3 linked regions of the Macaca fascicularis genome follow. The main gene of each other region encodes a partner of the protein of the gene in region 3 in a complex. Links are inferred from orthologs where the notes say so. Each region holds a gene or a part of one and is shown on either strand. Other genes may lie near its edges.

Region 1 (4,386 bases), on a different chromosome or scaffold from region 3:
GATGGCTCAGATGAGAGAGACTTGAAGCTATATCACATGAAGAAGAGTCAGAGTAATTGAGGATGATTAATCCTCAAAACAGAGTGTTTAGGTAAAATTTGAGGGCTATCTTCAAAGATCTGAAAGACCTCTTCATGGAGGAAAAATGTGAAGACCAAAGGTTACAGGGGAGTGGATTTGCATAATTGCTGTGCAAGGAGGGAACAATTATGACAGCTAATGTTTACTGAGTGCTCACCACGCATGCACTAAAGTTAAGGTCTTTATATGCCTTAGCTACAAGGTTGTAGATCCAATTCATGCTCATCACTACAAGCATCTCAGAGCATTGTTAGTAAAGGCTCCATTTATTGACTACTTATTAAATTACCTCATTTAATAGTTGTGCTATTGATTTTTGTTATTGTATCATTACTGTTTTATAGATGAGGAAATACAGAAGTTAAGTTGCTTTCCTGCAGTCACCCTAGTTACTGGCTTTATAACCATGTGGACCCAGGCACTCTTGATACTAATACTGCCTCCCAGAGTCATGTGTGTAATAAGGAGTTAGATCAGAGCTGTTCATTAAAAATATAAGGTGAGCCACTAATGAGAGCCTATGTGTAGCCTTACATTTTCTAGTGGCCACATCAGAAAATGTAAAAAGAAACTGGTGAAATTAATTTTATGTATGCTTATATGTTAACCCAATACATGATGAACCCAATGGACTTATTACATCAAACTATTCTCATGTATTGCAATAATGTAATCAACATAAAAATACTTAACAAGTTAGTTTACATTCATTTTAAAAATATTAAATTGTATGTCTGTTTTACAGTTACAGAACATCTCAGGGCTAGCCACATTTCAAGTGCTCAACAGCTGCCTGTGGCTCTTGAGGGGGAGGATCTTAAAAGGGAGCTTAGTTTTCCACCTTGATTCTGATGCCTCCCAGCCCCCAACTTATTTCCTTTGCCAATTAGAAGAAAATGCCTAACTGCCTTTGACTTTTCCGGTAGAGCCAATGTAGGTATTGCTGAATTGGGGGAGGACAGGTGTTTCGCCTGCAACCCTCTTCCCTCCTGCCAGCTAGGCTGAGAGTTAACGTTTTTGATTTCTGTTTTGAAAATGATTTAAGTAGGTTGCAAGAATTAAGTAATTTATTCTAAATACCAAATTAGGGGTAGAACGTCTTGCCTTATGCAAAGTTATGCAAAATTAGGAAGTCCCTGGCTTAATTGGTTAGAAATACATCTTGTAGCTTCAATGGCAGGGTTAGTAAATACATAGATGTCGACTGAGAGGGAGGAAATGTTTTGTTATTTTTGCCACTCTGTCCAAGGGTAGAGGCACAGCGTCAAAACAAACACGTCTTAAAGTAGCGTTCAAATAGCCCACCGAAGTTTCCCCTTAATATCCGGAACCGGTTGCCAAAAATGAAAAAAAGATGTGAAAAGATTCTACTCGCTTTTGGCCTCCCGGAGGTGGCGCTATGAGGGTGACGGAGTTAATTAGTGCCTCCAAACGCCGTGTGTGAGCTCATCGAAGTCATGCTCTGCACACATATTATTTATAGCAGATTTGAGGCATGCATGGTGTTTGACATTTCTGTCTTTATAAGTAGGGGGACTTCAAAAAGTCGTGGGCATTCCCCTAGGCAAAGTGCCGTGGGCAGGGACCAGGGTGCGGGCGCAAGGCGAACGCGCAGACCACGAGTGTCCTGGCGCAGGTGCCAGGGGCGGCGGCTGCAACTCCGCAGCGTCCGCTCGGGAGGAGAGTTCGCGGCTGATCTCCGGATGCCTTGCAGATGCAAAATGTGTCTCTGGCCAGCAGGAGGAAGGAAGAGGAAGTGAGAGCAGCGGCAGCCGGCGGTGCAGCAGCCGGCCGACCCAGAGTGTAAGTGCGTGTGTTGGGGCGAGCGGGAGCGGGCGAGGATGGGCACAGGATAGAGGTAGAGCCACCCACGCCGCCGCGGCCCCACGCTGGGCGACAGAGCCTCCAGTTCCCCTTCAATGGTGGCAGGTCGCCGCAGCTCTGATCGCCGGGAACCCTTGCCGCTGCTGTCCTGCGACCCCAAGCAGGTTCGTAAAGTTTCCTGGGCTGGCGCCGCGCCCCGACTTCCTGACCTCGGCGCGGCAGGGGAGGGGGCCGGGACTGGGGCCGGGAGGAGCCGTACTGCTCCGGGGGACTCCGGGAGCCGCGGAGACACTTTTGTTTCCTCCCTGGGAGCGCCGCGGCTCCGGCGGGGGTGGCCGCCGCGCTCGGCAGGGTGAAAGCTGTGGGCGCGTCGGGGCGCTCTGCAATTGGGGAAGTCTGAGCTCGGGGGATGGCGGGAGTGGGAGTGGGAGAGGAGGGAGGGGGCGCTGGAGGTGCAGCGCCCGGGGATGAAGCGCAGGGCCCGGGGCCCGGGGCCCGGGAGCCCGCCGAGACGTTTCGACCAGGGTCTGCGGGAGGGGGGCGCCGGAGGGTTGCGACGCGGGCGCGAGGTTGTTGGGGAAGGGGGATGTGGGGCTGGGACCTTGGAGTCAAGATTTCCTATAGAGCCAGAGAAGCGGCTGGCGGCTCGGACTCTGCGTCTTCTCCTGCACTCAGGGATGGGAGGGAATCCCCCGGCGAGTGCGCTCGTGGGAGGAGGCGGTGATGGGCCAGAGGGATGGGGGCCAGGAGGGCCGGAGAGGGCGGTCTGGGCAGCCGGGAGCCCCGGAGGCTCTGGTTGTAAATACTCTCCTCCCAGGGACACACCGGGGTCTCCGCCGAGACCGGAAGAGGCGGCGGGGGGTTTTGTGGAGCTTCGTGGAAATCTCAGCTTCGGAGAGGGGATGCACCAGGCGCGCCTTCAGAGAAGGGGGCGGCGGCATGCCGGGGGCCCGGGAATCGGAGCGGAGAGTGGCAACCGCGATCGCCGGAGTCTCTTTGAGGAAGAGGAAATACAGAACTCAGCTGTCCCGGGGGTGCGCGCGTGTGTTTGGAATTGGGAAGTCGGTGCTGTGCCGCGAGCGCGCGCGAGGTGGCGTGTGTGTGTGTGTGTGTGTGTGTGTGTGTGTGTGTGTATGTGTGTGCGCGCGCGCGTGTGTGTGCGCGCATATGTATGTGTGTGTGGTGTGTCATCGGTGTGTGTAAGTGTGTGTGTGTGGGGGGGGTGGGTGTTGTCGGTGTGGGAGGGTGTTGTCGGTGTGTGTGTGTAAGTGTTACCGCACAGCCAGGAACTACCCGCCCAGTGACCCTCTCCAGCCTAGGGGGCGATTTGAAGTTGGAGGCGGGACGGGACCTGCCTTGACCCAAAGGACCAGACTCAGGCTTGGTCCCAGGTAGTGACCCAGCTCTGAGAGCCCCTGGACGGCCCCCGAGACCCAGTGAACGTATTTGGGATGCCCCTCGCGCTGGATCATGGGCTTCCCAGCTGCGTTGGCCGTGAATGATTCGGGCCTAATTCGTTATGGTTAAGATTTTAGATAACCTAACGCAGGGGATGGGGCCTCCAGAGGCGGAGGCTCCCTGTTGGGCGCGGCCGGTGCCTTGGGGATGAGGCTATGGAAGAATATCTGAGTGTTTCTTTTTTGCTTCTATAAAGGTAATTAATGACCTGTATTTACATACCAAAACCCTGCGACCAATTTTGGGACATAGAGGGATATAATCCTTCTCAGAATCACTTTGAGATTGCAAAGACTGGCAGCAGCTGTTATTGTTGTCTCCTCTGGCCCCATGTTATCTCTGGGTTCTCAGGTTCTCCTCTGGGTTCTCACATTATCTCACCTCCATGCCTACTTTCCAAGGTTGTTTCAAGGATTATTGTCCCCCGATTTATAGATCTGGGGGAAAATAATGGCAAGTTAGGAGGCCAGATCCCCTGCAGACACATCGCATACTTTTAATTTTTCTTATAGCTGACCTTTTGAAGCTTTACTCTTTACTGTTGTACATTTCCTATCTCTGGAAGGCTGTGGTTAAATGTGGATGCTGCCTTTTTTCTACTCTGTTTTGTTTGTTTTTATTAGGTTGGTAAATTGTGAGGAAATGACCTGGACTGCTGTGACTCTTGGGGAGGGGTTGTGTCAGGAGGGTACTGAACTGGAGAACAAGAAGTATGGTAGGTATCAGGGAGGGGCAGGCTGGGAGGCAGACCCGGCTGGGAGGCAGACCCAGATGGGAGTCTGGGGAAACTCAGGGCCTGGAGCAGTCATTGGGCAAGAAGATGGGCAGTTCTAGTGATGGCCATGCTTACTGTCCTTGGTAACTGCAGGCACCCTCACCGTCTCACATTCTTCTTTTTCACTGAGTTCTCTCCCTAGGGCCTTTGCCCATGAAATTACAGGAGGAGCTTTTCTCCCACATGTCCAGATGACTGACTTCCCCTGCTTCCTTCAGGTGTCTGCCCAGCTGTCAGCTTATAGGGGG
Region 2 (2,603 bases), on a different chromosome or scaffold from region 3:
TAAGTCCATGGCAGGGTATGACTCCTAGCAGCATCCCCCCAATCCCCCTTAGGTCTGGAGTCTCCTAAGGCTGGTCTAAGCCTCTGTTTTGGTGAGCAGGAGTGACTGAGCTATCTGTAATGATTCTAGGACTGCAAGCTAGGACACCTGGAAGTCTTCAGTTGAGGCAGAGACCTGGGTTCAAACTCCAACTCCTGTTAAAGCACTGTCCTCTTGGTGATGTGAGGTACAGCTCTCAGATGCATGACTGTGAGAGCATCTGCCTTTAGGCTAATGGCTCTCAACCTCTCCCTTTCTGAGTCCTAAGATCAGGAAGTCTTTCCTCAAGTTTTGTGTCTGAGTCCACTATAGCATCTGTGACTGGGCCCCAGAGCAAGACTGCCCCCTCCAAGGGAGCCTAGAGCTTTGTTAGGGAAATTGGGGGGTGAGGGGACCACAATGAAGCCTATTGTCTACTAGAAAAAACAAAAGGCTCCCAGTCTCTGGGGAGCCCTAGCCCATGCCCACCCGCTAATGCCCAGCACACAGGGAGGAGCCGGGGCCACTGGAGACAGGAGGTTTTATTGATGCTGATGGGGGTAGGAAAGGCCCCCAGAAGCATGGGGGCTGAGTCAGTCAGCAAATGCGTAAGGCCTGGGCACAGAGGAGCAGGTTAGGGCACATTCACCTTCTCAGGATTCTGTGGCTCCCTCACTGGAGAAGGGAGAGAGCATCTTGGGGGTGCAATTCCAAGAACAGCGAGGGCAGAGGTTAGAGATGGCTGAGAGCCCCTAACCTGAGGAGGCACCACAATAGGCAGCAACAACTGTGTGGAAAGCTAGATGAACTGGTCAGTAGCGGAAAATGGGAGGGGGCACTGGTTGGCCTCTTGGGGAGGGGTCCAACCTTGGCTTGGATGAGCTCATGAGAATACCCGGTGTTCCCAAGCAGAGCGGGGCAGAGCCCAAAGCCCCTTTCTCTGCAGGCCTCCTTAAGGAGAAAAAGGCACTCAGAGAAAAAGGCATTCAGGGAGCCCCCTGGAAAGGGGTGCCAGAATTAGTCCTTAAGGCACAGCTGGGGCGGACAAGGCACCAAGGCACAACTGGTGGGGGAGGGCAGGGGCAGCCTCCAAGCCGAGTGCCAGGGTCACAAGAGGACGCAGGACCGTCCCCGCTTGATCGGAGTGGGGTTGAGCACAGCCCGGACAGCCTCGGCGAACACTTCCTTGACACCATCCTGTTGCAGGGCTGAGCATTCGAGGTAGCGCACAGCGTGGATCTGCTTGGCCAGTGCCTGGCCCTGCTGCGGTGTGATGGGCGCCTGGCCCTGCTCCTTGAGGCGCCGTAGAGTGTCAGGCTGGGCTCTCAGGTCCTTCTTGGTGCCCACCAGCAGGATGGGCACATCAGGGCAGTGGTGGCACACCTCTGGATGCCACTTGTGTCGCACGTTCTCATAGGAAGGCGGACTGGCAATGGAGAAACAGATGACAAAGACGTTGGTCTGAGGGTAGGAGAGTGTGCGGAGGCGGTCATACTCCTCCTGGCCCGCAGTGTCCCACAGGTTCAGGTTCACTGTGCGCCCGTCAACTGCGCTCTGCGCGCTGTAATTGTCGAACACGGTGGGGATGTACTCTTTGGGGAAAGCGTTAGTTGTGTAGCAGATGAGCAGGCACGTCTTGCCCACAGCCCCATCACCCACCACCACGCACTTGATGCTCTGCATCGTGGGTGCAGTTGCTGTAGTGGAGGCAGTGCCTCCTCTCTCTTCTGGACCTCTCTGGCTGCAGTGACCTGTGGACGGATGAAAGGGGACATTCTTGGTTAGGGAGGCCTCTGCCTACTGGGAAGAAAAGATAAGGGCACACAAAGGGAAACCGGCTCCTGTTCCCTTAACCTGACACTATCCCAAAGTCCCACCAAGACAGTCATCAGAAAGATACACAATGAAAGGCCCTGAGACCGAGCAAAGATGCAGTATAATGTGGTAGAAAGCACATAAGCTCTGGCGCCAGATAAACTAAGGTCAAATCTTGGTTTTGCATTTCCTAGCTGTGTAACCCTGAACAAATTGCTTAACCTCTCTATGCCTAAGTTTTCTTACCAGTAAAATGAGGATAAAATAATATCTACCTCATTGAGTCATTATAAGGATTATATAATACACGTAAAGCATTTAAAACAGTGCCTCATCCATAAGTATTAGCTTTTCTTTTTTTTTTTTAGCCGGAGTCTCGCTCTGTCACCCAGGCTGGAGTGCAGTGGTGTGATGTCTGCTCACTGCAACCTCCGCCACCTGGGTTCACGCCATTCTGCCTCAGCCTCTCGAGTAGCTGGGACTACAGGCGCCCACCACCACACCCAGCTAATTTTTTGTATTTTTAGTAGAGACGGGGTTTTACCGAGTTAGCCAGGATGGTCTTGATCTCCTGACCTTGTGATCCACCTGCCTTGGTCTCCCAAAGTGCTGGGATTACAGGTATGAGCCACCACGCCTGGCCAGTATTAGCTATTTTCCAGGCTATACAGACACAAAAGGAGAGTGCACAAATTTAGGGATCCACTAGATCCTCAACTAAATATGGACACTTTCCACCAGGAGACTGGAAAGGGTTCTGGCACAGGACA
Region 3 (3,648 bases):
TGCAGGAGGTGTACTAGGTTTCCAGGTTCCTCTAGGCTGGGCATCCATACGAGGCATTCCAGAATGTTCAGAGGATGCCCTGAGTGCCAGGCCTTAGGGAGAATAGAGACATAGGAAAAATGGTCTCATGCAACTAGATTACAGTCCTCACACAGCACAAACCTTTTGAGCAAGGGTTTGTTGACTGAATAAAACACAAACAAAAACAGACATTGAAAGAAGGACATTGCGGGCTGGGATTCTAAGTGATGGTAGGACTTGAGCTGAGTCCTAAAGAAAACTGGAACTTGAGTCCACAGAGAAGCGCAGCATAAATGAAGGTCACAGGATAGGAAGGTGTTGCATGAGGTGTGTGTGTCGGCTTAACTCTGTCACTTAATATCTAACACTGACATTCTGTGTCGTCAAATCCTATGCCAACCACTGCTGAGACCCTGGTCAGTGCCGGTCAGTGCTGCTGGAATGACAGCATGGAACCTGGGCTTTTGTCTCTCCCTCCGCCCCTCCAGGCTCCTAGAACATTGCCGGAAACACAAATACCTCTCCAGCTCTGGGGAGGTCTTTGCCCTCCTGGTCAGCAGCCTCTTAGAGAACCTGCTGGACTATAGAACCATCATCATGCACGATGAGAGCAAGGAGAACCGTATGAGCTGCACTGTGAATGTGCTGGTATGTGACATGCCCCTGGGGTGATGGGAGGGGACTCAGGCTGCCCCTGCACCCTACAGCTTAGCTCTAGGTGGATCCCACACACACAGAGGCACCCCGGGCACCTTTGTGGAGCTGGTGTCTTCCTGAGTCTAATTGGAATGGCTGGCTCAGCTCCCAGGTACCAGCAGCCACAGACCCTGAGGATAAATTTGGTGTGCTTTTGATTGTTTTAATTTTTGTTTCAGTAGGTTTTGGGGGTACAGGGGGTTTCTGGTTACATGGATAAGTTTCTGTTTGTGTGTTTGTTTGTTTGTTTGTTTTTGAGACGGAGTCTCGCTCTGTTGCCAGGCTGGAGTGCAGTGGTAGGATCTCGGCTCACTGGCAACCTCCGCCTCCCGGGTTCAAGCAATTCTCCTGACTCAGCCACCTGAGTCAGGAATTACAGGCTGGAATTACAAGCACGTGCCAGCATGCCCAGCTAATTTTTGCATTTTTAGTAGAGACGGGACTTTCACCATGTTGGCCGGGATGGTCTCAATCTCCTGACCTCGTGATCCACCCGCCTCAGCCTCCCAAAGTGTCAGGATTACAGGCATGAGCCACCGTGCCCGGCCAGAGAAGTTCTTTAGTGGTGATTTCTGAGATTTTAGAGCACCCGTCACCCGAGCACCGTACCCAAAATGTAGTCTTTTATCCCTCACCCACCTGTAACCTTCCCCGCTGAGTTCCCAAAGTCCTTTATATCATTCTTGTGCCTTTGCGTCCTGAGGATAAATATCGCCTTTTCTTATGGGGATATTTGTTAAAGGGAAACAGTGAACACTGTGGAAAAGTGAAACTGTTGAAAAGCAGCAACAGTGGTTTGGCTATTTTTGTGGTGAGCTTGTCAATAGCTCTTGATTTATATTGGGATTCGGTGATCCTTTTTTTTTTTTTTTTTTCCTGGCAGAACTTTTATAAAGAAAAGAAGAGAGAGGACATATACATAAGGTAAGCTGAAGGAAATTTCTTGCTTCTGCTATTTATTTCATGGCTTTGTGATTGATTTCTTCAGTAAACAAATACGATGCCCAACACCGTGTTTGCTGCTTTGAGAGACCCCTAAAAGTACATGATATGCTCCATTCACCCTGAACTGACAAACTCTTTAGACAGATACATGAATAAGTATGACAGGAAGGAGTGCCTACGTGAGGTCATGTCAGGGATCAGGGGAGGGATAGACAACTTCTATCCTGGGTGGGCAAGAGAGGCTGTATAGGGAGAGGCAGGAAAACCCATGCAAGAGTCTTAGCGAATCTCTGAACATGAAACAAACTTGTACATAACCAATATGCATGTTCTTGGGGAGAGATTCTATAGCTTTCATTAGCTTCCCAGAGGGGTCCAAGACCTAAAATTTAAAAACATTAAACAGCACTACCTTAAAGACGGAAGAGAAACTAGTCTAGATGGAGTCGGAGAAACACGGAGGCAGGAGGTGCGCAGTGTATTAAAGAAATGAGGAGGAACCGACTCCTTGGCTCAAGAGGAAGGAATAGCTTCTGTACAGTAGTGGGGAAGGGGGAGTCACGCAGGGAAGCAGGCTGGGGTCTGGTTATGGAATGATCTGAACACTATATCAACTTGAGCCTGGGCAGCATAGAAAAACCCTGTCTCTACAAAACACAATGAAAATTAGCCGGGCTTGGTGGCACATGCCAGCTACTCAGGAGGCTGAGGTGGGTGGATCACTTGAGCCCTGGAGCTCAAGGCTGCAGTGAGCCATGATCGGACCACTGCACACTCCAGCCTGGCCAACACAGCAAGACCCTGTCTCAAAACAAAACTTAAAAAACCTACAAAACTCTCGAGTGACAAGATGCTTCCTTTCTCCCCTTCTTGCCAGATATCTGTACAAGCTTCGAGATTTGCACCGAGACTGTGAGAACTACACAGAAGCTGCCTACACCCTTCTCTTGCACGCTGAGCTTCTGCAGGTGAATGGCTCAGAGAGCTTGTTTCAACAGGGTGGAGTATACCGTCCTTTCAGACTAAATTCTATACATTTTATGATTTTGATGGGAAAGAACCTTATTCCAGGGATGTCCTTTTATATAAGTTTTTAAAAATTCTTTCTAAATAGGCACAACTAATTTGTACATCAAGTATGGGAAAATGTCAGTTATCTTTTATTTAAAAGTCTTTAGAAAGCAGAGCATGACTTATGAACCTTTGGTAATTGACACTCTAATTAAAGCAATAAAACACACATTGATGAATACATTAAAAAAATTTTTAAAACTGCAGAAAACCACAGAAAGATGAGTTATAAGTGAATATAGTACCATAGAAGTACTCTGCTATTTTTATTCTCTCCGTAAATAAATGTATGTTGTGGCTTAGATATAAATACATCTATATGCTATGAGTCCCAAGTAATTATTTCTGGCCCTGAGCAGCTCCTCTAACTTTGGATTTACATACAAACTTTGATTGGCTAATACGCAGCTCAAACTGAACAAGGCAGTAACAGGAAGCTTTATTTCTCACTCTTTGCTCCTCCCCAACCCATCCTACCTCATTTTATTACCATGTTACTAATAACATTCCCATCCATTTAGTTACTCAGGCAACCTCATAGTCATCTTCGATTCTTCTCTTTTACTCACCACCTCCCATGTTCTCCACAAGCAAGAGATGTGGCCCCTCTGTTCAGAAAATGCCCCTAACCTATCCACTTTTCTTTTTATTTTTTCTTTCTTTTTTTTTTTTTTTTTTAAGAGATGAGATCTTGCTATGTTGCCCAGGCTGGTCTTGAACTCCTGGGCTCAAGCAATCCTCCCACTTCAGCCTCCCAGAGTACTAGGATTACAAGTGTGAGCCACCATGCTGGCCAATCCACTTTTCTTTATATCCCTGGCCAGCACCTTGGTCCATCCCATCAGCATGTCACACCTTGAGCACGACAGCAGCCTCCTGTTGGACATCAAGTATGGGAAAATGTCAGTTATCTTT

Evidence for each region.
Region 1: the proteins of DOCK5 (region 3) and ELMO1 are in contact, whole or in part, in a cryo-EM structure (PDB 8JHK), measured with the Homo sapiens proteins. The link is inferred for Macaca fascicularis from reciprocal best matches to the Homo sapiens genes DOCK5 and ELMO1. Residues at the interface, in NP_079216.4 of Homo sapiens: Met1, Ala2, Arg3, Trp4, Val14, Ala15, Ile16, Tyr17, Asn18, Ser22, Gln23, Gln30, Ile31, Gly32, Asp33, Thr34, Glu39, Tyr41, Gly43, Trp44, Arg46, Tyr48, Lys56, Ile58, Pro60, Glu61, Thr62, Tyr63, His65, Leu66; in NP_001193409.1 of Homo sapiens: Ile7, Val8, Lys9, Ala11, Tyr18, Pro19, Leu21, Glu23, Glu36, Asp39, Gly40, Ser42, Asn71, Gly72, Gln392, Asp393, Leu400, Glu401, Lys468, Arg531, Glu535, Leu536, Lys539, Leu547, Gln550, Gln551, Asn554, Arg555, Asn582, Thr688.
Region 2: the proteins of DOCK5 (region 3) and RHOG are in contact, whole or in part, in a cryo-EM structure (PDB 8XM7), measured with the Homo sapiens proteins. The link is inferred for Macaca fascicularis from reciprocal best matches to the Homo sapiens genes DOCK5 and RHOG. Residues at the interface, in NP_079216.4 of Homo sapiens: Val232, Phe345, Asn393, His394, Lys395, Gly396, Trp400; in NP_001656.2 of Homo sapiens: Ala121, Pro123, Leu126, Arg127, Arg128, Lys130.

What each region holds. Positions count from the first base shown.
Region 1 is NC_088377.1:92,863,999-92,868,384, forward strand, and holds the start of ELMO1 (engulfment and cell motility protein 1), read left to right. Parts: upstream 1-1,585; 5' UTR 1,586-1,884; exon of another isoform or gene 1,885-2,000; coding exon of another isoform or gene 2,001-2,069; intron 2,070-4,386. UniProt on the Homo sapiens protein: Involved in cytoskeletal rearrangements required for phagocytosis of apoptotic cells and cell motility. Acts in association with DOCK1 and CRK. Was initially proposed to be required in complex with DOCK1 to activate Rac Rho small GTPases.
Region 2 is NC_088388.1:70,446,446-70,449,048, reverse strand, and holds the end of RHOG (rho-related GTP-binding protein RhoG), read right to left. Parts: intron 1,770-2,603; 5' UTR 1,702-1,769; coding exon 1,126-1,701; 3' UTR 543-1,125; downstream 1-542.
Region 3 is NC_088382.1:28,565,620-28,569,267, forward strand, and holds part of DOCK5 (dedicator of cytokinesis protein 5), read left to right. Parts: intron 1-509; coding exon 510-669; intron 670-1,600; coding exon 1,601-1,641; intron 1,642-2,539; coding exon 2,540-2,630; intron 2,631-3,648. UniProt on the Homo sapiens protein: Guanine nucleotide exchange factor (GEF) for Rho and Rac. GEF proteins activate small GTPases by exchanging bound GDP for free GTP. Along with DOCK1, mediates CRK/CRKL regulation of epithelial and endothelial cell spreading and migration on type IV collagen.